Alligator mississippiensis: one gene and its partners. The protein of the gene in region 1 interacts with the protein of each later gene in a pairwise test. Links are inferred from orthologs where the notes say so. Each region holds a gene or a part of one and is shown in the gene's direction. Other genes may lie near its edges.

Region 1 (10,552 bases):
CGGAGAGAGCGGATCCGGAAAAGACGCCGCCTGCTCTGGCGAGGGGAGACGACGCCCTAAGCGAAAGGGGACCTGCATCGCGGGGTGTTCATGGAGCCGTGCCCGGGACACCGCTCCCTGACCCAAGCGGGACCAGGGGTTAGTCGGGCGACTCACTTGCGATGCCCTTGGGGTGCCTGGGCAGGTGCCCATCTTTGCTCCCTGGACCCAGTGAGTGTTGGGCCTGGGGCCTGCCCTTCACCGGGGAGGTGAGGGCTGCACAGCGGGACCGGGAGCTTGCTGGTAACTGCCGGGCTCCCCAGGCTGGAGAAGCTTCCTTGTGATTGGTGGATCTTTCCCACCAATCGGGTAAGTGCTGGGAAGGGGCCTGCCCCACCCTTGCCCAGGTTAAGGGAAGAGCCCAGAGGTGGTTGAAGTCTACACCAACCTGATCCGTCCGTTTGCACTTTGGTGCGGAGCCTCTTGAGGGAATAAAAGCAGCATGCTGGCACCCAGTGGTGAAGAAGAGCTGGCCAGTGGGGTGGAGCTGTTGCCCTGAAGAGCCCGAAGACCTCTTTGTTGGCGGGGCACGGCGAGGAGCACAGCATCAGTGCATGGCTTGGTGCATGGAACAGGACCCTGGGAACTGCACAAAGTGGCTCAGGTCTGCAACCCCTGGCACAAGGCCCAGCAGTTGGTGCATAGAGTAGGTCCCTGGGAGTCGCAGAGGCAGCTTGGGTGCCTATCCTCTGGCAAGCAGCCAGGCAGACAGTGCTGGCAGCATGGCACAGGGTGGTCTGGGAGGGATCGGGACCCTGAGAGCCACTTGAGGCAGCTTGGGTCTGCAGCCCCTGGCACAAGGCCAGACATTCAGTGCATGGGCAGTGCGCAAAACCAGACCCTGGGAGCAGCACGAGGTAGCTCGGTTCTGCATCCTTTGGCACAGGGCTGTTGGCTCTGCAAGCAACACTACAGGAGTGTCCAGGCATGGGCCGACCCCCGGTGCTGCACTCGGTGCATGAGATGGTGCACAGGGCCTCCAGTGGGCAGCAGCCCAGAGGGAGCCAGTGGCCCTGGAGGCTGCACGTAGGAGGAAGCATCTTGGCCAAGGGGAGTTGTGAGTTACTGAGTAAAAGGATCCCATGGAGGAGGGGGAGATTTCTCCTGGCTAGTAAGTGGGGCTTCTGGAGGGAGGCCCAAGGAAAGAGGCCCCCCTGGAGTTCAGAGGTTTCTTTGGGTTTTGTGGAAGGCCCAAAGGGCACTAGGGATTTTCCCACTAGTCACTGGAGTGCAGCCAAGGCCTCAGGACCAGATGGGCTTTGGGGCATTTAAAGGGTTAAGTTTTTTTTAATGCTTATGTGCCGTATATTTTGTGCATGCTTATATTTGTAAGTTCACAGTTCATTAGAGTTTAGAATGTATGATCTTTGCTGGGGCCCTGCTGGGACCCTTCCCTACTTCCTGCCTGTACTTGCCTGCAACTCCAGTGGTGGTAAACAATCACATATATAGAGAATAAGTTTTATAGTTACAGGTACATATATTTACATATATTATTATGTTTGTATTTATATTTATCTTTTGATGACCTGTAAATATTAATAAATTTCTATATATTTAACTTCTGGATCGGCCTGGTTCTGTAGGGAATAGAGGGAAACTGTTTTAGTCTGCAGTTTCCACCCACAGCATACCTGCCCTGCTTACAATCCCCTTCAATTAGAGAAGAGTACATACCCGAATACACCTGAGCTACAACTGAGCTCATACCCTGCTCTGAGTGGGGAGGAACAACTGGAGATGCATGATTCCTCCTGTCACCCAGGCAAGGCCCCCTTGGCCTAAGGGATTTAGGCTTCATACTTGGTTCTAGAAGGGGAGTGTAATCTTGGGTTCCAAACCTGGGGTTAAACTCTTAGCAGGCAGGTGAGTTCTAGTAGGCTAAAGCAGGGAAGTGGGATAGGATAGGATCAGAGACCCAGTTACAACCCAGAGCTTGATCACAAGGGTGACAGCCAAGCATCACTTTTCCCCAGAGAAGAAAAGGATTTGGTGCAGATAGGTGGGGAGAACAGAAAGGTCAACAACAGTTAGCCCCTCATTGTGACTGATGACAATGAACACGAACTTCTCTTCTTCCCTGGTATTGCATTTGAAGATTCCAGAGATGCAGTTGACATGGGGCATCTCCAGGTGACAGTCTCTGCACACCAGCTAACTGTCTTGAAGGGAAGGCAGAGTGGGAGGAGGGACACACACAGCCCTGTCTCTAGCCACACAGGGAATTCTGCCTCAGTCTTCCTCCCTGCCCCGCTCCTGCTTGAGCCCACTGGGCCTCACTTCTTTCCTAGAACTGGGCATAGTACAGGCCCCTCCCTTCTGCTCGGGTGGATCAATGAGTGTTGGAGACATTGTAATCGCCCCTTAAAGTGATGTCTGTGTCTCTGTGAGGAGCCACCTAAGACACAAAGATACCCCACCCCCACAAAAAAAAAAAGCACGGTGCATCTTTTTTTTTTCCCCAAATGAAGCAGTTACTGGGTTCAGTCTCTAGCACGGGGAAAGGAGGGAAGTAATCTGGATCAGAGCAGTAGGCTGGGAGCCACAATTGGGTTCTCTTCTCCTCCCTGGGAAGAGAATGGGGTCTTGTGGGTTGAAGCGGAAGAAAAAAATAGAGGTGTGCTAGCAAAGATCTTCGGCCAAACCAATGGGGTTTGGACCTGCCCAAAAATGAAGAGGTGTTGCACATTCCAGGGCTCACAACCTCCACTGCCCTCTGGGACTACTGTTTCTCATGTCACCATCAACCACACTGTGGCTTTGCACTGCACTAACCTGGAGCTGCCAACACCTGCCCTACAGGGAAGTATGAAGCCTGGTCTGCAGAGAAAGCACCCCAGCTGGTTAACTGAACAACTGCTCCAGCTCTATATCCACAATGTCATCGGACATTGGGCTCTTCACAGTGATAACCCACCATTACCACCAATGGCCACCTGCTCCTCACAGGCCGCACAGCAAAGGGACAGCCACACCTATTGTAGAAAATGTGGCAGGAAGGCTTGCAGGCAATTCCAAGTAGCTACTGGCAGCTGCAGGGAAAGGAGAGAGGCTGGGTAGCATGTATAAGATCTGTTTCCCTTGGTTTTCTGAAGTTGGTGCTTGGTGCAATGCAAGGTACTGGAAGGGCCTATAATCCTGGTAGGTGTGCACACTCACCAGGATGCAATTACATTTCTCTGTCCCACCTCAGTCTCCTGGCCCTGATATCACCCATTCTTGGCTACCTGGAGCTCATCTCAACTTTGTTCTGTTCAGACACAGCAATATCCCCATTCCTCACAGGAAGCAGATCCACACAGAGGTTACTTAACATTGCTTTACAAAGCTTGTTCTCCACAACTGATGCAGCAAGGAGATCCTGCTGGAGCACAGCCAGCTCAAGAGAACCAGAATCTTTGCTGGTGTCCAGATGAGTCCTGGACTCAGCTGTGCCTCGGGAGGGCAGAACATATCTGGCTAGTGGAGAGATGTATAGAAGGGTAGAGTCATGGTGAGCACACAGCAAAGCAAGGCCTCTTCCATCTTGTATGGGACAATGCTACAGAAACTCACACACTTTGACGTTTTTCCGGTGGTCTGTGTCACTACCCCATGTTACCCACTACCCCAGGCTACCTTCAGGCCTGCTCTGTTGTCAAAGACTCCGTACTGCTAAGAGCAAATGGGACAGGCTGCCTTAGTCCCAAATGAATGAGCCCTGAGTTGAAAGTTTGATGACAGCCCTGGGGAGAGGGTAACCCCATGTGACTCCCTCATGGGACAAGGCAGAATTGTCATTTTCCCCACAAGAGGATGAGAACCTCTACTGGACCTCCCTCCTGGGTTCCTAGTCTAACTGGAACAAATCTGTCCTGACTTTAGGCCCCACTCCCCTCCCAAAGCCAAGGACAGAAACCAGGAGTCCTTCCCCCCCCCCCCCCCCCCCGGTCCTTCAGCTTTGATCTCCTGGAGCTCATGTTTTTTGTCAGGGCTGGGCATAGAGCCCAGGTGTCCTGACTCCCAGCCCATGCTACTGACTCCATGCCTGGGGGGATTCCTTCTAGGCAGGAACTGTTCTCTGTGTGGGCAGCTCTTGCTCAGTCTCTGCTCAGTCACCTCTGTCTACCCACATTCCCAAGAAGTTACCTGTGGGTGCCAACTCCTAGGGTATTCCAGGAGGATAAAGTTCGTCCATGGCTGTCTCTCCTCTCACTTCAGACTGCAGTTTCTACCAGCTGGAAGCTCTCTCCTACCCTGCCCCAGCACCTGCCTTTGACCCAGAGGAGCCCAGCATGGCCTGAGCCCTGCTCCTTACTGCATGTGCCCTGTTCTGTTTTGTGCTTGTAGGTAAGTCCTATCAGCAGGAGCTGCACTCAGACGTGAAACACACAGGGCTTGTCCTGCTTTTGAGGTAGGGAGGGCAGGAATTGTCTCCCCATGGCAGCGTGGCTGGCACAGGGCTCCCAGGGCGAGGACAGCAGGGGAGGCAGTCCCAAGCCTGCAGTGGGCAGCCGGCATTTGCCCCCCACCGTGGACTCTGCTCGGCTCTGCTCCAGCTATGCTGCCCGGTGATGGTGGTGGGGGCATCATCTTAGGCTCCCTGGCAAAAATATGTCAGCACCTATGCTCCTTGCTTGTCATTAGCCAGACACTCATCCTGCCCTCAGGCCAGGGGCAGATTGAAGTAAGGGAGGCTGAGGTGAGTGATGCTCAAAGCAAGCCCGCTGGGAAGTAGCATAACTGAGGGGGGCAATCTGTTTCCATGTGGGGGTGGCGCAAATAGCCACTGCTGCAGCAGCCACAATCCACATGTCACCAACCCACTCTGTCCCAGGAGCCTGCGGTTACCCCAAGTGCAGAGCTGCTCTGCTACGCCTCCGCCAACACAAGGGATCAGGGCTGGCAGGTGGTTTGGTGTGGTGGCCATGGTGTGACACATGCTCATCTCATGTCTCTCTCTAGCCAATGCTCTGGGCCCTGTGTACCTCCTGAGACAAACTGTGTGCCTGAATGCTCCGGATCCCGCCTCTCCATCTTCATCATGACCCATAAGGACTGAGGTGTCTTGCTGTCCTGTTCTTGTTTCCCTCAGTAGCTCTGGCTGCAGCGCCTTCTCCCCCTTGGCAGCCAAAGGCAACAGCCCCTCCCTTTTTCTCCCAACATTATCTTCTCACCTGCCAGCTGATGCTGATCCCAGTAGCTGACCAAGTGAAACCTCATCCCATCTTGGCCCCAAGAGCAGGAGAGTAACAACCCCCACAAGGTACGTGCCCACAGCTGCTCCTGACCAGCCTCTCCTGCCTTGTTCTGTCCTATCCTGCCCAAAGGGCATCCCGTGTCCCACCACAGCCACCTCCTGCCCGTCTCCTCAGGCCTGCCCCACAGCAGGGAAGGGGGGTGGCAGAGGGCAGCCACGTGCCCAGAGCTCAGCCCTGCTTCCCTCCCTCAGGGCTGGCAGCAGACAACCAGGTGGGCCTGAAGGTAATGGGCTGCGCTATGCCAGCGAGATATGCAAGGGGACCTGGGAGTTCAATGATGGGTAGTACATGGTGTTCAAGTGCTGCACCACCCACGACAACTGCAATGAGGGCGAGCACCTGCTCGCTGGTGCCAGGCTGAGTAGGGAGGCACTGGGTTCCCCTGAATCTTCCACCTCTCACCCCACAGCGCCCCCCGGGCCAATTACAGCAGAACCCCCCAGCCCACGCCTCCCTCTCTTTTTTTCCAGAGGGATTTTTTTTTGCAGGAAAGAGGGCAAAAGGCACTGCATCCCCCCGCCCCCAATGCGGACACCACCCCAGGTACTGCATCCCCCGCCCCTTTTGGGGACATCCCCTCCCCCCTTGTTGAGGCGTCAATTACCCCCCAGCACGTACAACATCGTGGGGGGCGGGGCTCATCTTGGTACGCTCCAAAAGGGGGCGGGGGGATGACGGCTGCCCGGGATGATACTGCAAAGTCCCCGTTGCGGGCCGCCGCCGCGTCCCCCGGGCGCTAACTTGGTCCGTCCCAGGAGGGGCCGAGGCGCTCGCTGTACTTGGTACGTTCCACGTGGATGCCTTTAGGAGCGGGGGGGGCGGGACCCGTGATTTGGGCGGTTCCACAAGGGAAAGGGGGCGGGGTGGCTTCAAGTCTGGATGGGAGGTTGCTCATTTTGGTACGGTCCACAGAGAGGCGATGGGATTTGGTCCTCTCCAGCAGGTGGGCGGGGCCCGCGCATGTGGTACGGCCCGAAAGAGGGGGTCGAAGGAATGAATGGTACGGATCACTAAGAGGGGCGGGGCGCGATGGTACGGCCCGCGATGCTGGGGGTACGTGCGGGAAATCAGTGTATTCCGTACAGCCCAGGCATGGAGGAGGGTGGGGGACGCAGGCCCGGCGTGTGTGCACCTGGTGTCGTAGTTGGGTCGGGGCGGCGGCGTGTGGTACCTTCCAGGACGGCTCGGGGCGCAGCCGGTGCGTTTGGTATATTCTACTGAGGGGCCTTTGACAGGCGGGGAGGAGAGAGGACTGAGTTCCGGTCGGGGAAGGCTTATTTCCGGTCGGAAAAGGCACACTTCCGGCTGGGGACTGGCCGCGGCCTGGTCATCGCGCCTCGTCTCCCGCCTGCTTTACCCTGGTCGCTGCGGCCGCGGCCCGCGCGTGGGAGCCGCTATGATCCTCCCGCGCCTCCTGCTTTGGCCCGCGTCTCCTGGCTGCAGCGGAGGAAACGCACTTCCGGCAACGTAGCGGAGGCTTCCGGGCCCCGAGCCAGTCCGTCACTTCCGGCGCTGGGCCCAGGCTCGGCGTCCGTGCAGGGAGGAGCGGGCGGGCCGGGCCGGGCCGGGCCGGGGCTGGGGCTCGCGCGGCCGCAGGTGAGTGCGCGGCCGGTGAGCCCCTGTCCCGTGCCCCGCCCAAGGGGGCGGGCGCGGTGCCCGGGGCAAAAGTCGCCCCTGGGACGCGGGACGCGGTGGGCCCTCCCCCCCCCCCCCGGTCCCAGCGCTGCCGCGCTGTCCCTGCTGCTGCCTGTGACCCTCGTCCCAGCCTGTCTCCTCCCCACGGCTCCGGGCAGTGCCCGCGGCCGCTGCGGGGTGCTGGTTGTGACCCTGCCACCCTCCGTCTCACTCCCCTCTGCAGCATGTTCGTCTCCAGCAGTCGGCGGCTGTGCTCTGTGTCCCCCCTTCTAAGGGGCATAGATGTTTGTGGTGGGCCTCACAGTTTCCTGCTCTCCCCCGCTGCAGTTTGGGGACGTGTGCGGTCCCCCTCACTTCCTTCCATCCTTGCCCTTGTCTGAAAGATGGGTAATGCAGGGTGTTCGGTGCTTCGTAGGGGGACTGGGCAGAGTCGAGACAGATGGGGGAATCGTCTTGCTTGGACGCTGCAGGCAATTGTAGAGGAGCCCAAAGCTGCGCTGAGAGATGACACTGGCTTCCTTATTCTTCCCCTTCTAATTTTTCAGCCCCGCCCCCCACCTCAGGTCCCTGGAGGTTCTGCTTTGCTCAGACAAGTGCTTCAGAGTCACCCCCTTACAGATCAACAAGCGTCTTGCAGCATGTCAGGCTTTCTTACTTGAAGCTGCTTTGATTTCCACGTGCAAAGCCAGACTGTCAGAGCCAAGCAACATGTACAACTTAAAAAACAGTGAACTTCTCCCCGTCACCTGCACAGTTTTGATCTCATTCACTTTCCACCTTTAACATTCAGTGTTGCTCTGCAATGGCTGAGCGCTGCATCCTGCCTCAGAGACAGCTGCGCTTCAGTGCTGGGCAAGCTCTAGGGATGTAAATATCACTTTAAAAATTAGCTGTTTAGACTCTTCTGACTATATTGGTTAACCATTTAACTAATAACACATGCCTGTGGGTTGGGTTGAAGGTCATACAACGCTGGTACAGCAGGATGGACACATTGGGCTGAGGGACTCGTGCTCTAGTACCAATAAATCATGCAAGTACTCGGCCAATGTAATTTGAAAACATAATTCATTTAACTCCACCCTAGCAAACACAAACCATGTGTCAAAAAATGTTAAATGTTAACTGTAATGCATTAATGGTATAAATATAATTATTAGAGGTGCACTGATACATTGGTCCCATAGCGGATCGGCACCGATATAAGGAAAATTGACTGTATTGGCAGTTGGTTTTTTTGCCTGATGTGGCTGATAAGGTAGCAAATAAATGCCCTGTGTATGCGCACAGCCACAGTGCAGCATGCAGGCAGCCAGGAGCACAGCCTGGCAGTTTGGAGAGCAGCCAAATCGAGCTAGTAAGTCTGTTGTGAGGGAAGAGGGGTGGGGGAAATCAAGATCCCTGGGGTGAGGGAAGGAGTGTGGCTAGGGCAAGGGACAGAGAGTGACTCCTCTGGGAAGGGCAGCTCCTGTTGCACACAACCCAGGAGGGCGTTGGGGGCATGTGCCCCGACATCTGTGGGGGGCAAGGGCAGGCTGCTGCTGAGGGCTGGGGCCAGGGGTGGCACCAGGCTGTTCCCAGCAGGGGGGTTGGGCCGGGCTGTGCTTGGGGCAGGCGCCAGTGGTGCTGGAACTGGGGACTATCGCAAACTTAGGGGTGACTGCAGCCCCCCCATAGCTACCCTCCCAGCACCACTGCTGCCAGCCCTGAGCACAGTGTAGCCCAGGACTCTTCCAGGAAGAGCTTTGCACCACTCCCAGCCCACAATGGTAGCTCACCTTTGCCCCATGCAGATCTGGGGGCACCACTACCCCCCGCCATGCCCTCATAGGGTGCGTGCAGTTCCAGGAGCTACCCCCCGGACAAGCTGCTCATGGCTTCATCCTGTGCCCCACCCTGGCTGTGCATGACCTGTCCCAGCTCCACTCCCACCCTCACTGTGGGGGCAATGATCTGCCTGCCCCCCCCCCGCCTCCCCCCAATGCCTCTTCACACGCAACAGACTTACCAGCCAGACACTGCTCTCCAAGCTGCACGGCTACATTTTGGTAATCGGATCTGTATCGACCGATATGACTTGTTCAAAGATGGCTGTTGATATCGGCTCAAAAAATTTCCATTGGTGCACCCCTAATAATGATAGTTGAACCACTTAACCTTCCTGTCCCTAGCAAGCTCTCCTTGCTATGTTCTGGTAAGATGGGTATCCCCACCCTGCTCATGCCAGAGGCAACTACATCTCTGTGTTGTGAAGCTGATCTCTATGGCTGCTGACAGACATGGGGGGGGGGGTGCCCAAAATATACAGACTTTGGGCAAGCCAGATCCAGCTCGTGCAGCACCTCTTCTGATAATGTGCTGTGCTCAGTGTGGGAGTATACAGAGTTTAAAGTAATGCCCTGTTTTTTGGTTTGTCTTTTTTAATGTCTGCAAGCAGCCTATTTGATTTTTACTCACTGGCAAACTTGTAACAGTGGGACTGGGAGAAGTGTCCCTGAGAGTTATGATATAGTACATGCCTGGGCTGGATTTGGATGGAGGATTTAGAAGCAGAAGACTCTGCCACCCCTTCCAAACCCCTCCCCCCCCCCTCCCCCCCCCCCCCAACAACTGGATTTCAGGTGATCAAAAAAAATTCTGGATTTCAGTCATCTCACTTGGGGATCTAGTCATCTGACTTGGATGTTGGAAGGCAGATGACACTAGATTTTGTGTAAGTGTGTATTATTCCCATTTTACAGCTGGAAAATGAGAGTTGGGAGGAGAGGCTTATGCTTGTTTATTGACCCAGGAGTCCTGGCTCTCAGTTCCTCTGTTAAGATGTCTCTCCTCTATTCCTAGCTGTGAGAGAACCCAAGGATAAAAACAGACAACTGGCTTTAGTTTCATGGCTAAGCTTTTGTCTTGCAGCATATCTCAGACCTTACAGACTGATGGCTTAAGTCCATTGTCCTGCATCCAGTACTATGACCATGGTCTCCTTTCCAGGGCCTTTCCTTTCCATCATCTTATTGTAGAAGGCAATTGTAGAAGATGCATTATTCAGGCCATGGGCTTGTTCAACTGGGTGGGTTTGTTTACCTGGGGCATGGCTATGCTAAGAGGCATTAATGGCTTCTCTCTCTCTCTCATTGCATGAGGTATCAGATAAAGACATTTCAAAATGTAGCATCTTTTGTAACTTGCTCTGCTGAGCTGCCAGCCTGTTGCTGTTTTCAGAATGGCAGGGGGGAAAGGTAGCAGAGGAAGTTCAGCAGTGTTCCCTCTAAGCTGTGTGGCATGTACAGGCACACTCATGCCGTGCTGCCAGGCGTGCCTGTATGGCCTGGATGCTGCGCAGTTTAGAGGAAATGCTGGAGTTCAGTCTGGGGTCTTTTCAACACCCTCCCTCCCCCCCACTGCTTTGGGAGGGGTGGGTGTATTGGAGGGGGGGGGGGGGGGGGGCTCCAATTCACCCACCCCACCCCACCCTCCAGCAAGGACTGGGGAGCCCCAGGAATGAGCTCCCTCCCAGTCTGAAAACAGTGAGCACTAGCAGAGAGCCCTGGCCTTTGCTATGGGATCTGGTTGCAGGCTCCTAGCCTGCAGCTAGATTCCCCTCCCCCTGGAATCAACAGTGAACTTCTGCTTGGTCCCAG
Region 2 (10,976 bases), on another chromosome or scaffold:
CATGGGGAGACCAGCACTACAGAACAGGTAAGAAACAAGAAGGTAAGAAACAATGGGCCCCTTGGGACTCGGAGCGGGGGGGCAGCAAAGGCACCAGTCGCAGGGCTCAAGTGCCTATATACTAATGCTAGGAGCATGGGGGAACAAGCAGGATGAACTAGCGCTCCTGCTTGCACTAAACACCTATGACTTAGTGGGGCTAACAGAGACCTGGTGGGATTCATCCCGTGACTGGGCGGTACATATTGACGGCTATAGATTGTACAGAAAGGACAGGTCGGGGAAGAAAGGGGGGGGGGGGGGGCTGCACTTTATGTCAGTGAGCAATATACATCAACCCTCATCAAGACAGAATCCAAGGTCGAGGAAGTAGAAGGATTGTGGGTTAGGCTACATGGGGGGCAAGGAGAAAGGGATTTGGTGGTAGGGGTCTGCTACAGACCCCCACACCAAGGGGAAGAAATAGATGCGGGGCTCCTGAGGCAACTCTCGGAGACCATAAAAGCTAGAGGCGGTAGTCACGGGGGACCTAAACTACCCGGACATCTGCTGGGAGACGCAGACAGCAAGGTCCCATCGCTCACGCAGGTTTCTAACCTGTGTACAGGACCTCCACCTGACACAGGAGGTGCATGGTCCCACTAGGGGGAATGCCATACTGGATCTGGTATTGGCAATGGGAGATGACATGATAGGGGACCTCCAGATCGGTAGCCATTTGGGAGACAGTGATCACCTAATAATAGAATTCAACATAAGACGTCGAGTGGGTAAGTTAACTAGTAGGGTGAAAGTGCTAGACTTTAGGAAAGCTGATCTCAATGCACTCAGGCGATTAGTCAAGGACGCACTGCAGAGTAGGAGTTTTGAAGGGATGGGAGCCCAGGAAGGGTGGCTGTGCCTTAAGGAAACGATCCTTCGGGCACAAAGCAAGACAATCCCCGAGCGAGGCAAAAAAGGGAAAGGGGCCAGGAGGCTTCCATGGCTGACCAGAGATATCCAGGGCAGCCTAAGGGCCAAAAGGGGAGCACATAAAAAGTGGAAACAGGGTGAGATCACTAAAGTTGAATATACCTCCTCTGCTCATGCTTGTAGGGAGGCAGTTAGGCGGGCCAAAGCTACCATGGAGCTGAGGATGGCAACCCAAGTAAAAGACAACAAGAAATTGTTTTTTAGATATATTGGGAGTAAAAGGAAGGCCCAGGGAGGAATAGGACCCCTGCTAAATGGGCAGAAACAATTGGTGACAGACAGGGGGGACAAGGCTGAACACCTCAACGAGTTCTTTGCCTCAGTGTTCCTAAGTGAGGGGCACGACAAGTCTCTCACTGGGGTTGTAGAGAGGCAGCAGCAAGGCGCCAGACTTCCATACGTAGATCCTGAGATGGTGCAGAGTCACTTGGAAGAACTGGATGCCTTTAAGTCGGCAGGCCCGGATGAGCTCCATCCGAGGGTGCTGAAGGCACTGGCCGACATCATTGCAGAGCCACTGGCGGGAATATTCGAACGCTCGTGGCGCACAGGCCAAGTCCCGGAGGACTGGAAAAGGGCCAATGTGGTCCCCATTTTCAAAAAGGGGAGGAAGGAGGACCTGGGCAACTATAGGCCAGTCAGTCTCACCTCCATCCTTGGTAAAGTCTTTGAAAAAAATTATCAAGGCTCACATTTGTGAGAGCCTGGCAGGGCAAATTATGCTGAGGGGAAACCAGCACGGGTTTGTGGCGGGCAGATTGTGCCTGAGCAATCTAGTCTCTTTCTGTGACCAGGTTACGAAATGTCTGGACACAGGAGGAGGGGTGGATGTCGTATACTTAGACTTCAGGAAGGCCTTCGATACGGTATCCCACCCCATACTGGTGAACAAGTTAAGAGGCTGTGATGTGGATGACTACACAGTCCGGTGGGTGGCGAATTGGCTAGAGGGTCGCACCCAAAGAGTCGTGGTGGATGGGTTGGTCTCGACCTGGAAGGGTGTGGGCAGTGGGGTCCCACAGGGCTCGGTCCTTGGACCGATACTCTTTAATGTCTTCATCAGCAACTTGGACGAGGGAGTCAAATGTACTCTGTCCAAGTTTGCAGATGACACAAAGCTATGGGGAGAAGTGGACACACCGGAGGGCAGGGAACAGCTGCAGGCAGACCTGGATAGGTTGGACAAGTGGGCAGAAAACAACAGGATGCAGTTCAACAAGGAGAAATGCAAAGTGCTGCACCTAGGGAGGAAAAATGTCCAGCACACCTACAGCCTAGGGAATGACCTGCTGGGTGGCACAGAGGTGGAAAGGGATCTTGGAGTCCTAGTGGACTCCAAGATGAACATGAGCCGGCAGTGTGACGAAGCCATCAGAAAAGCCAATGGCACTTTATCGTGCATCAGCAGATGCATGACAAATAGGTCCAGGGGAGGTGATACTTCCCCTCTATAGGGTGCTGGTCAGACCGCAGTTGGAGTACTGCATGCAATTCTGGGCGCCACACTTCAAGAAGGATGCGGATAACCTGGAGAGGGTCCAGAGAAGGGCAACTCGTATGGTTAAGGTCCTAGAGACCAAGCCCTATGAGGAGAGATTAGAGAAACTGGACCTTTTCAGCCTCCGCAAGAGAAGGTTGAGAGGTGACCTTGTGGCTGCCTTTAAGTTCATCATGGGGGCACAGAAGGGAATTGGTGAGTATTTATTCACCAAGGCGCCCCCGGGGGTTACAAGAAATAATGGCCACAAGCTAGCAGAGAGCAGATTTAGATTGGACATTAGGAAGAACTTCTTCACAGTTCGAGTGGCCAAGGTCTGGAACGGGCTCCCAAGGGAGGTGGTGCTCTCCCCTACCCTGGGGGTCTTCAAGAGGAGGTTAGATGAATATCTAGCTGGGGTCATCTAGACCCAGCACTCTTTCCTGCTTATGCAGGGGGTCGGACTCGATGATCTATTGAGGTCCCTTCCGACCCTAACATCTATGAATCTATGAATATCAGTAATCAGGACAAAGATATGTTCTTTCAGTTTGATCACTTAGACCCTCTGAATGTTTACATATATGCCTAATATTAAGCATGAGAGTAGTTCTGTTGACCTTGTGATAGATGTATGGAATTGGGATCTTAGCTCCTTGTTCACCACAGGCTCATTCACTTCTTTCAGAAGCTGTTTGTAGTCACAGTAGTGCTTACTTTGGTTGACCTCCCCCACACACCTGTAAGGGAACACACACACATCCTTTCTTTGGAAGGCTTAGGAGATTATAAAATTAATTAGAAACATTTACAGAGTTCAAAAACAATAGAACTACAATATTTATAGTGATAAACTGAAAAATGTGCTTGCACTGCTGGAACCTAAACACAAAAGCATGAAAAGCAAATCTTAATCCAAAAGCAAATCTAATGATGAGGTGCAACCGAATAGTCTCATTTCATTCCGAGGATGGCAAAGGACAGAAACAGCAGAGACAGTGAAAATGTTAGACTAAATTAGGTTCCTATATATTTTGTTGTAATAATCTAAGGTATTGTTATCAGCAGTTCACATACTTGTAAGACTGGTTTAAAGGGTGTTTTTTTTTAAATATTCTAAATCCATTTTTAGCAACCTATAGGAATGATTAAGGATTTTTTTCTTTAGTGTCCTTTTGACTGTTTCAAACCTTAGCTAATTATTTCTAAATATTCAATTCTAAAGGGAAGTTGCTGTTTTGTTTTCAATTTTACTGCTATTATAATTATTAATTCATGCTTTGATATTGTAGCTACCTAAAGAAGAGATTATATGGCTCAGGTACAGTGACACAACTCTTCACTTTGCAGGTGGTGGTTTGAATCCAATCCTGACTGGAAGTGCTCAGAGGTGACTTTTGGGATGAAAGCTAGATGACCACTGGATAAAAGCTACATGAAATGCACAGGTGTGCTTGCTTACCCATCACAAATTAGCATTACAATCTATGCTTGTGTTAGTATTCTCATAGAGGAGGACGGTAGCTGAATAGGAAATGAACGGCTCTCTACGGTGACATGTACTTTTCAGGCCAGGGTTGTGGAGCAGTGGCAGGGCATTACCTAAAAATCTTGTCCTGCTGGTAATCATACTGTAACCACTAATAGTGTAGAGAAATGTATTCTTTGGGCCTGTCAAGACTGGTGTTTTTCAGGAGCAGTACATTTACTTACGCAATTTAAGAATTGGTTCTCTTTAAAACACTATTGTTATCTTGACATCTTCAATAAGCCTGCCACTTGACACATTATATATTATTTTTCGCTATCACAGATAAAACATAGGTTATGTGATTGTTCAAATCATTAATATAGAACTGTAAAATGATCCAAGTATGCTTTTACCTAAAACTTGGTATTTTAAGGTTAAAAATATGTAATTGTAACTAGGCATTACAGAAACTTTTTTTCTGAGCCTGCTAAGGACAATTTAATACAACTCATTTTACAGTGTGTGGCCAGAAGCATTTTTTACTGTATTTGATGCACAACCAGGGTATTTGTTTTCTCAGGGGCTTCAGTTATTTCAGTTGCTTTCACTGTTTTTCTGGCAAAGTTTCATCTCTACTATCTCTCTATTTTCAAGAAATGATGGACAAGAGCAGATATTGTGCAATGAAGTCAGTGGCAAAACTTCCAATGATTTGTGGTGGAGGAGGCCACATGCCCTTTGCAAGGTGAACACACACTTTCATACCTCTCTGAACAACTTGAAAATGTACTTGTCTACTCAGGTGCCCAGCTAAAGTTCACAAGTAGAACCCAACATAAAAACATCCAGTCATGTTCACAGAGCTCTGACCTACTCACTGCTCAAGATTAATCCACTACTGAAGATTAATCATTTAATAATAAATCTGGATGCAAGTAAATATAGAGAAAGCAACTTCAAAGAATGCTTCGGCCTTGAGCAAGGGGTCGGACTAGGCGACCACCCGAGGTCCCTTCCAACCCTTTCTATGATTATTAGAAACAGAAAGCACTCTGACAATGTCCTTTCACACAAATGTTGCCTTTCTTTTGGTAGTGTGATGGAAAACCAAAGGGCTAAAAGCAGTAGAAGTTTGTGCAGCCTTTTATTAATGCCACTCTTGTTTACCCCAGCAGCAGTTCATCTAGGCTAAAGGATGTATGATGTTTGGGACAGGCATTCCCTTTTTATTGGTTGATTAGAATGGGAGTCATACCATGCTAGGCAGCCAATTGAGGTTTTAGGTACTATTCAAATAATCATTAGTAATGGTAGGAAGGATGAACGTTTGAGATGAGACCAGGCATCTAGCTTGCCTCTGGCAAATTGTCACCTGACCCTGGGAAGAAGTGCCAGCCAAAACAGTGGTATGTGACAGCAGCCTGCCACTGAAAAGGCACCAGTCCTGAATGGAAATCAGGGATTAAACATGAGACCTGTCCAGGGCCAGTTCTTAAGCAGAATGGCTCAGAAACATGGCAAGATTCAGTTGGGTGGTTTTTTTGTTGTTTTTTTTTTTTTTTTTTTTAAGGGTAGCAAAGCTTGTGCAGTTTGTCATACTCTGAATTGTATTCGATTCCCCAAGTTTGTGTATACAGCATGTTGAAAATGTACACCTGGATTGCATCAAGGCAATAAGGGAGTTCCCCCATTGTTTTGCCAAACTACCTTAGTTGCCTGGGTCAGCGAAGGGATGACACAACAACGATTCACCTATTGGCTCCCTCCAACTAATGAGACACTTCCTCAGCTTTGGGTCGGCAGATTTGTTTCAACAATGGGCCAGGACCATCTCCTTCCCCTCGGGGACCCACCTGCAGCAGCCCACTAAGGGCAGCAAGCAACCAGTTTACGGCAGGTAACACTTAACAGCATGGGTCGTCCTTGGCCAGAAGTCATAGGAAATCGAGCAGCAGAGCCAGCTGAAGTGGATGGCTCCCGAGTCCCCCATCGAAGTGTCTGCTCAGGTGTGACCAGGGGTGCTGGACAACGGGACGGGCCTGCAGTGACCGGGGGAAGTGACGAGGATCCTGGGCAGAGCCTGGAGGCAGCGAGAGGCTGCAGCCTGCGCCTCGGGGTGCCCGCGCGTGCAGAGGGGAGGCCCAGCCCGGCTGGCAGGGGCCTCGGAGCCGCCCGCCCCCAGGAGGCGCCACCCACGCGGGGCCCGCGCCCCGAGGCGCCTCCCGCCTGCCACGCGGCGGCTTCGCAACCCCGCGGGCCCCGGCTCTGCGTGGCGCACCAGCCGGGTGAGCCGCGGCCCCGCGGAACGGGCCGGAGGCACAACACCTCCCACCCGCCCGGCTCGGGCTCCCGCGGACCTCCAGCCCCGCCCCGCCCGCACCCAACGCGACGGCCACACAAAGTCTCCCACCCCTTAGCCGGAACCTCTCTTCTTCCCTTCTCGCGAGAAGTCATCTCACCCCCCTCTTCAACAGCTCATATCCTTCCGCCGCCGCGCTCCCCTCCCCCTTCTGGAGAGTTCTGCGTGCGGGGGGAGGGAACAGAAGTAGTCCCCGTGCCCGAGCGAGCCCCATCACCAGGTGCGGCGGCCCCTCCGCCTGGCCGCCCCGCTGCTGGCTGCTGGGCTCGCGGCGGAGTGATACGCTCGCAGGCAGTAGGGCATAAAGGGCCCGCGGAGGGATGCGCTAGGATCTGCAGCACCGAGGAAGCGCTGAGCGCCGCCGGGGGAGCTGAGCGCGAGGCCCGCCCGCCGCTGCCGCACGGACACCCGCGTCTCCCGCGCTCCTCCCCCCGGAAAAATAATCCCAATCCCCTCCTCCCTCCCTCCCTCCTCCCTCCCCCGCAGCGGCCGAGCCCAGGGCCCCGCGCGCCCCTTCTCCGCGCACCGCCCGCGCGCACCCGCGCACACACCGCACTCTCTCGCTCTCGCACACACACAAACTCTCTCTCACACACACACACGCACACAATGGCGCTGAAGAGAATCCACAAGGTAAGGGCCGCTCGCAGGGGAGCGCCGCCAAGGCCTGCGCCGGGCCTGGGCCTGGGCCTGGGCCTGAGCCTGAACCCGGGCCCGCAGCTCGGCCTGGCCGCGCCGCGCCGGGGTGGGGGCGATGCCGGCTCAGGCTGCTCCGCTCCGGGCCGAGCGCACCTGCCTGCGGCGGCTCCGCTCCCTTATGTAATGCGCGGCCTGGCCCGGCTCCCGCCGGCGCTTGCTGGGCGGAGGGGGCGCCGCGATGCTCTCGTGGGGCTCCCGGGCGCGGGGCAGGGCCGGCCGGGCCTTGCGGGCCAAGCTGCCCCGCGGTGACCCGGCCCGGGCCGCCCTCCCCTCCCCCCTTCTTGTCTTAATTTTGCTGTCTCGGCCCCCGGGGGATGCGGGGAGCAGCTGAGTCCCAGGGCTACCGAACCCAGGAGCCCAAATTTAAGAGCTGCAGGACCAGGGGAATGGTGATATTGCCAGAGGAGAAAGCGAAAGCCCAGAGACCACAACCGAAGCCACTCTGAGGCTGGCTTGTCTCGCTCCCTCCCCCGCGGAGGTCTGGGAACACTTTTTGGGCAAAAGAAATGCCCTACAGCCCTAGCTGGGCCATGGTTAGAAGTGCTGCTTGGGCTTTCTTAATGATTTCAAAGAAATTGGTTTTTGGGGCAGTCTTCCTACAACAGCTAGAAACATGTCTGTAGATCACAGTTGTTTTGCTCTTTATTTGGAGGTCTCTTCGTGGTCAGCGCAACTCACTTCAGTTTTACCTGTTTAATTTATTAGTGATCAGTGACCTAGAATGAGGTGGTGACTCTTTTTTTTTTTTTTTTTTAGAAGTTCCTTTGTAGTATCTGGTGAGGTAAGCTGATGCCTACGAAAGCTCTGATTTACTGAGTCTATAAGGGGAAAATCTGCCCTGCCTTCTGCCCAACTCTTCTTATGCTTTGGAATAGGAAGCATCTTAGAGTCTTAGAAAGGCCCTAAAGTTTTGAAGTTTCCTTTCCACTGACTGATGCCGAAGGTGCTTTCTCTCTTCTTTTTGACCCTTGAATTAATCATTTTCATAGGAGTTGCTCTTCAGGAAAGACTTATCTGTGTTCAGGAATAACTTGTCAGGTGTAATATTTTTTGTTCAACTTCATACTAGTTTAGATCTCATCCTAAAAGCTGATTGGTTAATAGGTGAAAAATAATTCCTCAGCATTTATAACTGTACTGTAGGCATGACTTCACCTCCTACCCCTTCCCCTGATGTAGACATGGTTTATTTCTTTTGCTAGTACAGATTTTCTTCCTGGGGTACAGTTGAAAAGTCACTCAGCATGCCATAAGGTATAGTAGGAAAATAACTCCTCTTGATGTTATAAATTGTACCTACGCTAGGGGGTTGGGGGAGTTGCCTAGAAAAGGCCTGCTACTATGCTTGACTGTTAAAAATTGAGCAAAAGTACCCAATACGAATCCTCAGCTTTATGAGGAAATGTGAATGCATATAGCAGTTGCATCTTATGAAGAGCTACTGCAAAACAACAAGCATATCTGTAGCATTCACTAATGTAAAGAGGTGCTGTAGCAAAATGTAACATTTACTTGGCTACTGGCTAAATTATCCTCATCTTCACTTCTTTTTAATTCTTTGATTCATCTTCCTTCTCTTTAATTCTCAGATTGAAAAGTATATTTTCATTAACAAGCTTCAATATGTAGTGTGTTAATTTTTTTAATATGGTTTGTTTTATTAGGCCACAGTGGCAAAAGTGGTCAGTTACTGGGAGAGGAAGTGATCATGGTTATCAATCCATTAATTTTAAACCCATTCATTAAGTCAAAATAGGATGCAACTTGTATGCCATTCTGAACTGGCTGTTAGTTTCATTAGAATAGTCAATTGACATATTTGCAAAGAACTGCCCATAAAACAACTTTGTTTTTGTAGACCAGGAACTATACTAAAGTGCCATGTCCAATCTTTTTCTAGAAAACTGGCCTGACTCGTGTTTTCTTGTACCAAGGCGAACGTGCACAATTCTTAGGTGCCCGTTGCTGTAGGACCAAATAAAGAACAGGATCTGTTAAAGCCATCTATCCATCTATTAAAGAATTTCTTACAATTTAGGTAGACAAACATGGCATCCTTCTTCGAAAGGTGTGGCTTTTTGCCCTGAACTCATGACTTTGAAGTCTGAACTCCTGTGCGCAAACTTCTTGTGTGGTTTCTAGTCTGAGTTACTTATTTCTAGCTGATGAAATAAACAAAATATGAATCTGTTAGCTGATTTGGGGATCTTTGTGGTAATTTCTGTTCTGGTGTACTCAGCACCAGTACTGAATCAAGAATGCAGACTTTGGACTGGCTGTAACTACAGGACAGTGTTCTTAAGCTTCCTTTAGTATCTTTTATTGATCATGTTGAAAAGCAGCTTGAGTGCCAAATACAAGCCTTTTGCAAAATGATACTAAGATTAAGTTTCATATACATTTAAGGACTTATTTACATGAAGAAATAGATGGGCATAATTATATCTGCTAGGGCTGTAATTTCCTGTGTGGATGCTTGTTTCAAAACAAGTCATCACAGTTAGTGATACCTGTACATTTCACTAACAAGAAAAGCCCTGAAATGTCACATGAAAACCATTTCTTATTTTATTTTTATAAATGTTAGGCTTTGGGTGGGCAACCTGGGCATGAGTGCCACAAGTGGCACAAGTAAGCCTCTGTGTATGGCATACAGGTGATCAGGGAAGGGATTGGCAGCACAGCAACAGAAGGTAGAGCAGGAGATCAGGCAGAGAGCACAGGGCAAGAAATGGAAGACGGAGCAGCAAATTGATGCCCTTCCTCTTAGAGTGGTATTGAGGGGCAGGGGTAGGGCTAATGTGGTATGTTGCCAAAAAAAGTGCCCCCCCCCCCCTCCCCCCGCGCTATGTCGGAGGAGCATTGTGTTCTGTACAGGTCAGCTATTTTATATGCATATTACTTCTTTTGACTAGTTTAGCTTTCAGCAGGTTTAAGTTCCAGTTTTACACACCATTGCGCTGCTCTAAAATCCATGTTGATCTTGTTAACATGACTGAAATGATTGAAATAGTTCTCTGCAGTGTACTTGGGTCTTTCAAAATCTCCAGGAGTCCATGGCTTCTGCAGAGTTGTCAGGATTTGAGAAATACATAGAGAAAATTACTGTGAACTTTACTAGTATAACTGTCAGGGAACACATTTTTGATAAACAGGAACATGTGGGATACTACTGTGTGTGTGAGGGACTTCATGCAATCTTGATATTTACCCCAAGTTGGGCCATAGTGTGGCTTAATTCAGTATGTTTCTAAGAATAATACCTTCCTTCAATTTCAAAAGTACTTTTAAGAAACTTTTAAAAGAGATTTTTTTATAAAGATGGAATTGTGAAACTGGAATATTTTAATTTGTTCATCATGCTGGTCTTGCTTTCAGAGATGAGAATTCCACAGAATTATAGGACACCTAGAGAAATTATATAAACCAAATATTAGGCCTAGACCAGTGGTTTTCAACTTTTTTAGACTCAAAACACCTCTTGGACAACGTTAGATCTTAGCTTTCACTCTTATTTTTCCACAGTAAAAGAAAAAAAGAGAGAGAGAGCAATGTTTCTTTTGCAGAGAACTCGGACCACAACAGGTCATAATGTTTTTGATGCTGTGGATTCCTATTTGAAATCTCTAAGCTGATATAGAATCATGTGTAGGTGTTTGTATGCCTACAGTGTTAATTTTGAATGGCACTCTTAAAAGGATCTTCCAGTGTCATCCTGCTGAGAATCACTGGCCTAGGTGACTGTAGTCTCTAAATATTTAAAAGTACCTACAGCCTGTGTGCTGTCATTAAAGTAACTGTATTTAGTATGTTGGACCTCATAGGAGGCATTTCACTAGAGTAAGATGAAAATTGAGTAATGTTAACTTTAAAACAGGAGTTGGTACAGGAAGAAGGGGAAGGACTTTACTTATGTGTAGAGCTTAGGCCTTCTCACATATCTGCTAAATGGAGGGTTTTGGGGTTTTTTTTGTTGGTTCTTTAATATCCTAAATTTC
Region 3 (10,421 bases), on another chromosome or scaffold:
AGGTAGGTAATGTATAAAGCAAAAACAATACACAACTCAAAGATCACTCTGGGGCTTAGTCCCTTCTCATAGTCCTTTATCTTGGAGTTGGACCACCCAGGTCCTTGTCCTGTGAGACCCTTCTGACTTCAGGGTCCGCAGTCAGAATGGAGCATTGTAAGCCACTCTTGCCCCCGACTGTACTCGCAACTCTTCTCTGTCTTCCATTTCAGGTCGAGCTTTCCAGCTCAGGTCCCAAACGTCTGTCCCTAACTGCCAAGACAAATGTGCGGATAAGTCACTCGGCTCCTCCAAGCTGCCTCAGTGGGCTTGCTGCCGACAGGCTGCTTTCCACCATTTGCCCCTCCTGGGACTTCTGGACCTCACTTCCAGTCCATCCATCTCCTCAGAGGGTTTTTAACCTGGACACAGGGTTCTTCCTCTTGAAACACCGGTGGCATACGCTTATGAAGTGTGACCATGCTGGCACTGGGGTTTCCCCAGCACTCGTCTATTTTCTTGGTGCTGTTTCTCAGCGCTGTTTCACTGCTTCCCTCTGACTCGGCATGTAAGATTCTTCTTCCATTTCCTCCCCACTGTCACACCATGTATTTAAGCAAACTGGGACCTTCTATGTAAAAAGTATTACTGAACTTCCATAACAGAAATTTAAACTTCCTACTATCTGGTATATACCCTAAACAGCAGTAGCCTGGAAGGGTTAATAAAGAACCTAATTACCTTCTCCAGCTGTGACCAAGCAGTGCATTAGAAACAACTATCATAAGGGACTGCAGCTGAGGTAATATAGGGGTAACAGGTGGAAAGGTTTTGGCTGCTCTAGGGGTATTAGCAAACCGGTGGAAGAGCAAGATGCCCAAGCTGGAAAGGTAGAGAAAGGAAGGCATGTTCCTCTGCTGCTTAACGCAGTCTCTGTGCTGGAACCTAGAGGAGAGCGTGGGCCTCAAGGCTCTTCTTCCTCCCCTGCGCAAGGGGAATGATGGCCCTTGAGGTAAAGGTGCCATGGGCTAGTGGCTCCAAGTTGTTTGTCCAGTCTTGGTCCTCTCATATGTGCTCTAAATTTTGTTACCCTCTCAGAGGTAAGTCTATGAATTACAAAAACACTAGTCCTGTTCCTACCTACAACCACTTTTATGGCACACCTTGCTGTAGGGTTGTCATGGACTCAAGGGGAGCCCACTAACATGCAAAAATCTTTTACAGCTTAGCTATCTACTGTCTTACCTCACAAAAATGGCATAACTTTTATTTACAAAAAACTGCATTGTCCATTCTTCCTCATGGATCTTTTTTGTTTCACAATGGCAGCAATTGACTTAAACAGACTTTGGATCACACATCTATGAATAAAACAGATACATTATCCCTACATTAAAACAAGCCCAATCAGTTGCTGGGTACTCCATGCTGTGTATTTAGTGATGTTTCTTTAACATTTTCTGCCATATTTCTGGTCCTTTGACACAAGAGTTGTTTTCTAAACTCAGAAAATCTTTTAGCAGGAACTGGAATTTTCTGGAATTTTGGATAAAAATAAATCAAGAAAAGACTAGTTGAGTGATCTAGTGTGACAAACCCATCTTCTTGTTGTGTTTTGCAGCATTTTTATTCTATCAACAATTTTCCATAACAAACTCTGGATGTCTGAACCAACACTGTTGCAAGCCTATTCTGTTGTTCTGTGGCTTCTACTATTAAGTGGACATATTTTCTGTCTAAACTTCCCTTTTTTAGCAGTGCTACAAGGGCCTGAAGCTACATTGGAACTAGAAGCAGCCATCCACATTACCGTGGTCGAGAAGGCACTCAGTTTTCATTCACTACACTCAGTTGCCTTTTGATCCCTTCTAAACTTTTCATTCCACAGGTGTTAATGACCCTCTCTTCTTTTCAATAGTCTTGATGTTCTACCAATCAAGCTAGCTTTTGTTCTGCAGTTCTGCTGTATGTTAGCTGCTTCTGGTAATGAAGCTCCTGTTTCACAGCAGTGCAAATTGTTTTTAACTTATTCCTATGAGTTGTATTTGTTTTTTCTTCAATCTTAAACAGAATAATACAGCCCTAGGCCCCTAGCATAGTAGTAAAGCTTCTAGTTTATTTTTAACTGTAGAAAAATATGTATTGTGTTATATGGGTTGATGCACCTCACCATCTATAACCCCTTTTCAAAATCCACACGTGGTAGGATGGTACAAGAAAAATCTCTTGAGCAGGTACTCAGGAACTCCTTTATGATGAGCTAGAGGCCTCTAAGCCACCTGTCATATTAAAGCCATTACCTATTTGTTTTATTGTTTATGGCAGAGGATAGGGGAGGGAATCAAAGGTTATTTCTAGATTTAATAGCAGATTTAATAACAATTACAGCAGGCTGAAAAGGCATATAGGGACTAGCCAAATTACATGAATAACAATCCCACTACCCAACAGCTTATTAAGACTGTCTTTTAATTGAATCCAGAAATTGTAACTATTCCCACTAGCATGTTTTTATTGCTGCCTGTCATCAAATGTCTTATGTCAAAGGTCTGCAACCACTCACCTGTGCTAAGTACAAATCTATATTAAGCCTCACCCTGTAAACCATTACCTGTGAGTGCTCTCACTATTATCAATTAAATACTAAATATTAATTATTTTAAAAGTTAACAAAAGTACAGTTTCCTTATTAGTCTGAAGGGTAAATTAATTGGGAGGGCGGGAAAGGGAAGGACATGTTTTCAGTCTGAATAATCTTGTATAAATAAAAATATTCATGATTTTAGTGCATTTAAATTATCAAGCATTGTGTTAACAGTGTTTTACATTACATTTTTTTTAAATTGTGGCTGTTAGTTATAGGTTTAATTCACCATGTACATTGTGTGCTCAGTAATTATTTTATTAAACATTCTCAAGATTTCATTCCATGCACTTGATTTGAAAACATATGTTTTTAATATAAATACTGAAATAAGAAATTTAAGTAGCATGACTTTTTTCATGTTCCATTTTCACTCTTTACTATGTTACATAAAGATTAACAACGTAAGTCTGCTATCCCAAATAGGGCTATTCAGAAGCCAGTCAACTTTCAGAAAGGGACCATTTTATAATTTTTCATGAAAAATGTGATTGCTTGTGTGTGGTCCAACAGCCAATTGAAATAGTTTGGCAGAGTCATTAAGACTTAGGATCATAGGAAAACAGGGCTGGAAGGGACCTCACGAGGTCATCTAGTGTAGCCCCTTGGTCAAAGCAGGACCCCACTTACCCTTGGAGTCAAAAAAGGGTGGGAAACACATGAAGTCTGAAAATTAATTAAGAGGGACTGTGGGGCACTTCAGTCACAACTGTCTACCTCCTCTAAGGAATGACAATGTGCTTTAATGGTTTAAAATAGCAGTTGGCAACCTTTTTGGGCTGCGGGCCAAAACAACACATCTTGGATCACATGCAGGTAGGTGAGTGCTAGGACCTGACCACTGCCACTGTTCCTCCCTGCTGTAGCAAGGAAGAAGCCTCTCCCACCAAGTGTTACTGATGCCCCATGTCTACGAGCTGGGCTCTGCCGCCCAGATCCAGCCTGTAGGCCACTGGTTGCCAACCCCTGGCTTAGAAAGCTGTCAACACTAATAAAAGACTGGTTCAGGTCAGTTCTGTGGAATATCGTAATTATATGGTATAGAGCAGGGGATGTTAACCAGGGGTACACGTACCCCTCAGGGTACTTGGGAAGACCCCAGGGGGTACATGGCAGTGGCGCAGAGAAGCAGGGGTACTTGGGAAGCATGGCAGCGGACTTCCTAATACCCCCGCTTCTCTGTGCTGCCATCACATACCCTGGAAGTGCGCCGCTACGTGCTGCTCATTGACCAGCAGTGGGGCTCCAGCCCCCCCCCCTCAACTGGCCGCAGGGGGACACCCCCCTGCCCATCCAGGGGGTACAATCCATGAGGGGTACCCACCAGAAGGGGTACACTCCTTAAAAAAAAGTTGAAAACCACTGGTATAGAGACTGATTTAAAAGTGGGATAACAGGAATGATATGAGACCTACACTGGGCATGGAAAATAGTTATCATACAAGATACATATCCTCTGCAACAAGTAGAATCTTTCTTATGTTTGACAGTACTATTACAGTAATACTAAAGTCAACACAACAAAAACAAGCTCAGATTCATAAAATAATATGGCTGCTTGGCTTTGTTTCTCAATTATGTATCCTTGCTATTTCTCAAGACTATATTTACTAGCGGTGTGCAAAGCAGATAGCATTCAATTCGGATTCTGATTCTGCCAGATTCGGGGGACAGTGATTTGGTTCACTGATTCAGATCACCATCCCGATTTGATTTGGCCCAATCTGAAGATTCAATTCTGATTTGGAGAATCAGCGATTAGGCCATATACAGTTTTGTGTTTTTATATACGTTTTATACGTACCTCAAGTACTAGGCGCAGCTTGTGAATGCCAAGATGGTGGGGCGGATGGAGTGTCCCATGGAACCGTGTGGGGGGGTCCCACACATGCTCAGAGGTAGTCCACTTCCAGGTCCACCGCCAAGCGCGTGGGGGACCTTGCCGTGCCCTCCCGGCTCAGTGATCCGCCACAGGGGACCCTGGGTGCCCCCTTAGACCCAGGAGTCACCAGCTGCCGAGCCAGGGGGCCGGGGGGGTCCCCTGTGTGCTCCACAGCGAACCTGGAAGTGTACCGGATGTACTTCTGGTCCACTTAAGAGTCTGCTGCCAACCACATGGGGGACCCCTCCTGTGGGATGCTCCATCCACCTCACCATCTCAGTGTTCAATACCTGCACCTGGTACCTCAAGGTATGTAGAAAAAACATATAAAGCTGTATCTGTGGCCAAATAATTGAATCTCTCCAAATCAAATCAGAGGCTTCTGATTCAATTCTGAGAGATTAAAGGGTCTCCTGATTCGATTCAGAGATTCGGTCGCTGAATCAGGCCGAATCGAATCAGCCACCAAAGCTTCGCATAGCCCTACTATTTATTAATAACTAAACCTCTCTTCATTGCCTTGAAAGAGTCCCCTACTCTAAACTTTCCCGTTGTTTGTCTTTACTTTCTTACGTGGTTGCTGCCTTACCTAAGTACCTTGAGGCTCCTCCTTTGAGATCTAATCATAACTAAGCTTGCACAAAGGAAATTACACAATTCAGAGCTGAAAACACCTTCGTTAATGGATTTTTGTTTTTCCAGTTGCCTACACCAAGAATTGAGAGACTGTGACAGAGCACCACCACTGATGAAGCCAGATAATCAATGGGTGTGGAAACCCCCTTCCCCAAAAGAGTCCCACAAGTTTTGACGCATCCTCTGGATCTGCAGCATCCCATGGATCTAACGTTGAAAACCATGGTGCTGCCTGTAGAACAGCACTAGGTGAGCCAGTGTATCTCTGGGTTTATCATCATTATTCAGACAAGGTCCTTTGGGCCATTCTGCCATCTGTTATTAAACCAAACAGTTGGAAAAATTCTTCTTTGCACGCTTTTGGATACAAACTCCTTTTGTCAGGCTGAGGGAGCATCTGGTTACAACCTCTCTCTCTCAAACATGGAAGTTATAGCAATTCAGCATTTTTGGCATTTCTCTGGTGAGGCTGTAAAAAAATAAGCCACACCTCAAGCATCACGTCTTCTCTAGTCCCGAGGCCTTGTGCGTGCCTCCTTCTACCTTAAAGTCCCATTTCTGGCTTCCTGCCTAGTCTGGAGCCCCTGCCTCGCCACGTGTCTCACACAATTCACTAGTAAATCACGCACTAAGTTGAGAGCGGACACACGTGCGGGCAAAGCAATTCCCAGGCCACATATACGAGGAACCCGCCCTCAGGTTAGTACCTGAGACCATACGACCGCTCTGCAGGTGGCACCTCCCCGTTTGAACTAATCCACTTCCGTCCCCCCTCATCCTTCCGCCTGACTCTCTCGCTCGGAAAAGCACTCTGGCGGAGGGATACGAGCACGCCGCTCCCAACGCAGATCCGGCAGCGGGCGCCATTTTGGGCTCCCGCACACGCTGACGCACGCACGCACGCAGGGGGTGGGGCCTAGCTCGTGGCGGCACGCGGGGAGCCGGGACGAGCCTTCGCTCCGTGAGTGTCTCAAGAGTCGCGGAGCCGATCTCCCCCTCCCCCTCCCCCAGGGAGCCGGGACTGCCCCTCCCGTACAAGCTTCTTCCTGCGAGGGGTGGAGGTACGACCCCCCCTCTTCCCCTCGGCCAGGTCAAGGCAGGGCAGCGCTGGGCAGGGACAGGAGCGCGGGCGCTCGCTCTCGCGAGACCTCCTTCCCCGCCCCCCATGAGCGTGCGAACAGCGCGTCACCCGCGCCCTTGTGGGTCTGCGTGCTCGGAGCCTCACATTCCCCCCGCGCGTGCGCAAAGTCCTCCGCCCGCGGCGGCGGTTGGCCCCCCCCCGCCGTTTCCCCCCCCCCATTCTGAGGGGGGGCGTTGGCGGCCACTGCTGGGCCCGCCCCGCGGCGGGGAGGGGCGGGAGGGGGGGCGGTGCCTGCACGAGCCGTGGCCCCTCCCGCTCCCCCTCCCCCTCCTTTCGGCCTTGCACCGGCGGCGGGTGCAGCGGCTGCACTCGCGCTCTCGTGCCGGGTCGGGCTGGGCAAGGCAGGGCCGGGCCGGCCTCACCACTGCTTCTCTCGCGGGCGCGTTGTGTCCGCAGCGGCGGGAGGGGCTGCGCCGTGCGGGCGCCCCTGGCTGTTTCCGGAGGAAGGAGAAGCGGCCGCGTCACCCAGCGCGAGCCCGGCGGCGGCGCGGAGCATAAGCGGAGGCGGAGGCAGGCCCGGCGGCGGCACCCGCACCCACAATGGCGCTGAAACGCATCAACAAGGTGAGGAGCGGCCGGGCCGGGCGAGAGGCTGCGGCTTTGTCTCGGTCCCGGGAGGGGGGCTGGCGCCGATGTCGCTGCGGCGACTCCGGGGCTCGACGGAGGTGTCGGCAGCAATTCCCCTTGGCCGGCCCCTCGTTGAGGCCACGGCATCTCCCCCCACCCGTTTGGGTCCCATTTTACAGGGTGGGGCCGTTTTCTGTGGGCTCCGGCTCTTCCGTGGCCGGCGGGGCCTGTACCCCGTGCGACTCGCCCTTCGCTTCTGGCCTGTAACTTCTTTCCCGCATTGTAAGATGGCGGCGGGTTCGCCCCGTTCAGGCTCTTTCCGGGATCTCTGGCTTTCTGCAATAACATGACACGCACACACACCATGCACACGCACGCCCGGCCGCTGTGGCGCGGCAGCTGCGGTACCCGGGCACTGCTGGCTGTTCTGCTCCCCCAACAACCCCGCTCTGGCCTGGCCTGTGTTCCTCGCCTTGGAAGAGCCTGCGCTGCCTTCACAAGGGGCGGAAGTGTTTGTGTGCAGTACGGAGGATGGCATTGCTCAATCCGGCTGGGTGGAGTGATATACGTGTGTGTATAAATATTTTTTAACAGCTAATGCGGAAAAAAAAGTCATAGGGCCATATGTTTAAATCACTTCCAGAGAAAAAGTTTTAGTGGCACAGTGGGATTTAGGGAGCTCTGTGATGCTCTCCTGTTTCAGGGATGTTCTTGTGCAGTGCAGCAGCCAAGTTCCCAAATGAGGTATCCCATGATTGAAGCAGGATGGTTTTAAAATATGCTAAATTTTGGGGTGGGGAGGCAGAAATATTTGCTCCTCCTCATTTTGAGCCTGCCAAGAAGGTAGAAAATCATAGTATCCTGAATATTCTGGAAGCCTTTTCTTGGGCACTTCTCAAGTACTATAGTGCTGTCATTATTTGATGTTACACATCATAATAGTGGTGTCTTGATTGACTAGTTTGACTAAAATAAGGACAAATGAAGCTTGTATCCTATACCTCGCATCTAATGTTGAATAAAGCCCTTAAAAATGTAAAAGCTCTTAAAATCACTGCAAGTAGAAAGTGTGGACTTGTATTACAGCTACAGTATTTAAATAATTTCAGAAAAACAATTCCTGGTGAATCTGCCATCAAAACTTGTTCCCCTTGCATTAGTGGATATTATTAAAACAGGCTAAGGGACTCCCTGGTGTGCTTTGTCATCAACTTGCAGTAAAATGCATCTGAAACTCAGGCGTCTGTTCACAAGAATAATTTATGGTCAGGTGTATGCCAAGGCAGGCTCTCAAATGTGTAGCAGATCTGATATTTAAAACATTTAAAAAAATAAAACATAACTTTGTTTCAAGAACTCTATGTAGATTATAAGCTTTGTGGAGCAGGGACTGTCAGCTACTCAGGTCAGTGTCTTGTTCTTGGTTGGTTTTTTCCACTACTGGAATCGGTTATACAATATCCAAGGCCACTGTTTAGGACTTTTAGTTTTGGTATAACCAGACTTAAGTTATGAGGTATACCTGTAAAGTGATGTTTTGTTTGCATTTTTTACTTTTGTTTTTAAGATTCTCTATCTCAGAAAGTTAAAGTTTATAGCAGGGCTGTTGTGCTTCTTGGGCTTCTGTTGGGCTGACACATCAATTGCTCTGACTGCAACACAGCCAGAGTCCCTGGGTTCCCCCTCCTTTCTCCATCTCCTGCTTCCTATCCCTGCCCCAGGCGGTGGGGCAGTGCAGTTTGGCTTGGGGAGCTGAGGGTGAACCTGGTGCCATGTGAGTGCACAGTGCAGCTGTGGGGAGGGTTCACCTGAGTAGGTGCATGGTGCAGTGGTGGGGAGGAAGGGGGGAAACATCTATGTAGCATGTGACCCAGGGGACCTGTGGTTGACTCATGCGGCCCCCAGTACCTCAGAAGTTGGTCAGCCTGGTTTATAAGTATCCAGTTATCCAGGTACTAAGACTGCACGCTGCTTTCACCAAAAGCAGTGCTTTCCAATACAAATGGCTCAGGTTTGACAATAAAGTGTAGCAAAAAGAGTTTCTTAATGAGAATGATATGAATTAAGGATCTGCTTCACTACCCACCAGAGCCAGAGATCGGTGTTGTGTCATTGGAAAAGTGGAATCTCCAGACCTTGAAACTCAGTGCTTCCTTATACCCTTCTTGGCACTAATCCAGGCCTGTATAAAGTGAGTTAAGACCTTAGTTTGCTATGATGACTCCATCTAGTCTGATTTGCAGTCTTTGGAAATTTTACGTGCCAAGACTAAAGTTCACTTTCTGCAGCAGGTGACATGCAAGATGCACAAGGCAGAGGCATTTTCATTCATGGTTGATTTGGTTGGGTTGACTTGTGGTCCGTGTCTTTCAAGTGTGTTTGATACAGAGTGAAACAAAACATTTAACTTGGGTGTCCTCAGATATGCGAAACGCTGCTTTCCCCATCTTTTTTTTTTTTTATGTAGAAATTTAAAATGACTGTTTCTGGATAAGACATCTCATTATCTATAAAAGTTCTGTTGCATCTGATTTTGATTTGGCGCTTCTGCTAACAGTTAAATTTTCATACTATAAAATGTTTTGAATTTTGCAGTTCTAGGTCACTGTTAAGATATCATAAGGTCACTGAGGCCAGGTCTTCAGTTAAAGGCTCTCTTTGCATAGCCATGTTGGTTGAGGGGGGTGAAGATGTATGACCAACATACCAGCATAACTGCCATCTCTGCTGGTAAAAGTGAACTTCTGTTGGAATAAATTTGGTATGCAAGTGGTGGTTTCAAATTCAGGTGTGTTTCTGGAAGCATAGTATCATAAAACTGAACATTCAATTTTGATGTTAATTATTTTTCTTTTAAATATGGGATTGTGACCAAAATAATGGCTTCTGATATTTGGGAAGAGATGGACAATTTATAAATTTTAATAGGTTTTTTTTCTTATTGAAAAGTCCTGTTCAGTTTCAGAGTACTTGAGCATTTGTTTATAGGACTGTATTCCTCTGTGAAATGTGTGTTGTGAATCTATCCAGAAAACAGGATAGGTTAGTGGGAACTTGTCTAAAATAGATTTTGTTTTTAATAATGACCACTTCTAAAATTAATAGATTTAAAAACTGGCCTGTTTGGTTCCATCACAGATTTATGTTATGTGCCAGAATTTTTTCTTTGTTCATCCTAGTGACTCCACCATCACAAAAATAGCAAGAAGTTGGTTCTCTCCAAATATAGAGGGTGAAATGCAGTCTTAGACCTGAGATGCTTGCTGTTAAGTTGGTTTATATTTTATTGCTTTTGAATTTTACTTGAAAATAGATGTTTTATAATACTAAGTTACATTTTTTAAAATAAAACTTTAGGGCTCTTTTAACTAGATAATAAAGGAGTGTTTATAATATGTTTGTCACAGGCTGACAGTCTGATTAAATGGTTTTTGTAGGTGTTTTTGGTTGCTTAAGAACAGCTTCCAAAGTGATATTTGTGAATTGTTTCCCTGCCAACTTAAAAGTGATGAGTATAAGTGCTTGGTTATAATTTGTTTATCTGTTCTATTCAACTTTCTGGGTGCAAATCT

What was found. The genes of interacting proteins can lie anywhere in the genome.
Region 2: the proteins of TRIM39 (region 1) and UBE2D2 interact in binary tests that used the Homo sapiens proteins (3 or more experiments, as listed by UniProt). The link is inferred for Alligator mississippiensis from reciprocal best matches to the Homo sapiens genes TRIM39 and UBE2D2.
Region 3: the proteins of TRIM39 (region 1) and UBE2D3 interact in binary tests that used the Homo sapiens proteins (3 or more experiments, as listed by UniProt). The link is inferred for Alligator mississippiensis from reciprocal best matches to the Homo sapiens genes TRIM39 and UBE2D3.

Annotation. Positions count from the first base shown.
Region 1 is NC_081834.1:53,844,299-53,854,850, reverse strand, and holds the start of TRIM39 (E3 ubiquitin-protein ligase TRIM39), read left to right. Parts: upstream 1-5,968; 5' UTR 5,969-6,061; intron 6,062-6,157; exon of another isoform or gene 6,158-6,279; intron 6,280-6,350; exon of another isoform or gene 6,351-6,875; intron 6,876-10,552.
Region 2 is NC_081832.1:44,786,239-44,797,214, reverse strand, and holds the start of UBE2D2 (ubiquitin-conjugating enzyme E2 D2), read left to right. Parts: upstream 1-6,566; 5' UTR 6,567-6,888; coding exon 6,889-6,912; intron 6,913-7,734; exon of another isoform or gene 7,735-7,759; intron 7,760-10,976.
Region 3 is NC_081825.1:163,315,921-163,326,341, reverse strand, and holds the start of UBE2D3 (ubiquitin-conjugating enzyme E2 D3), read left to right. Parts: upstream 1-6,011; 5' UTR 6,012-6,102; intron 6,103-6,121; exon of another isoform or gene 6,122-6,202; intron 6,203-6,544; exon of another isoform or gene 6,545-6,678; 5' UTR 6,679-6,822; coding exon 6,823-6,846; intron 6,847-10,421. UniProt on the Homo sapiens protein: Accepts ubiquitin from the E1 complex and catalyzes its covalent attachment to other proteins. In vitro catalyzes 'Lys-11'-, as well as 'Lys-48'-linked polyubiquitination.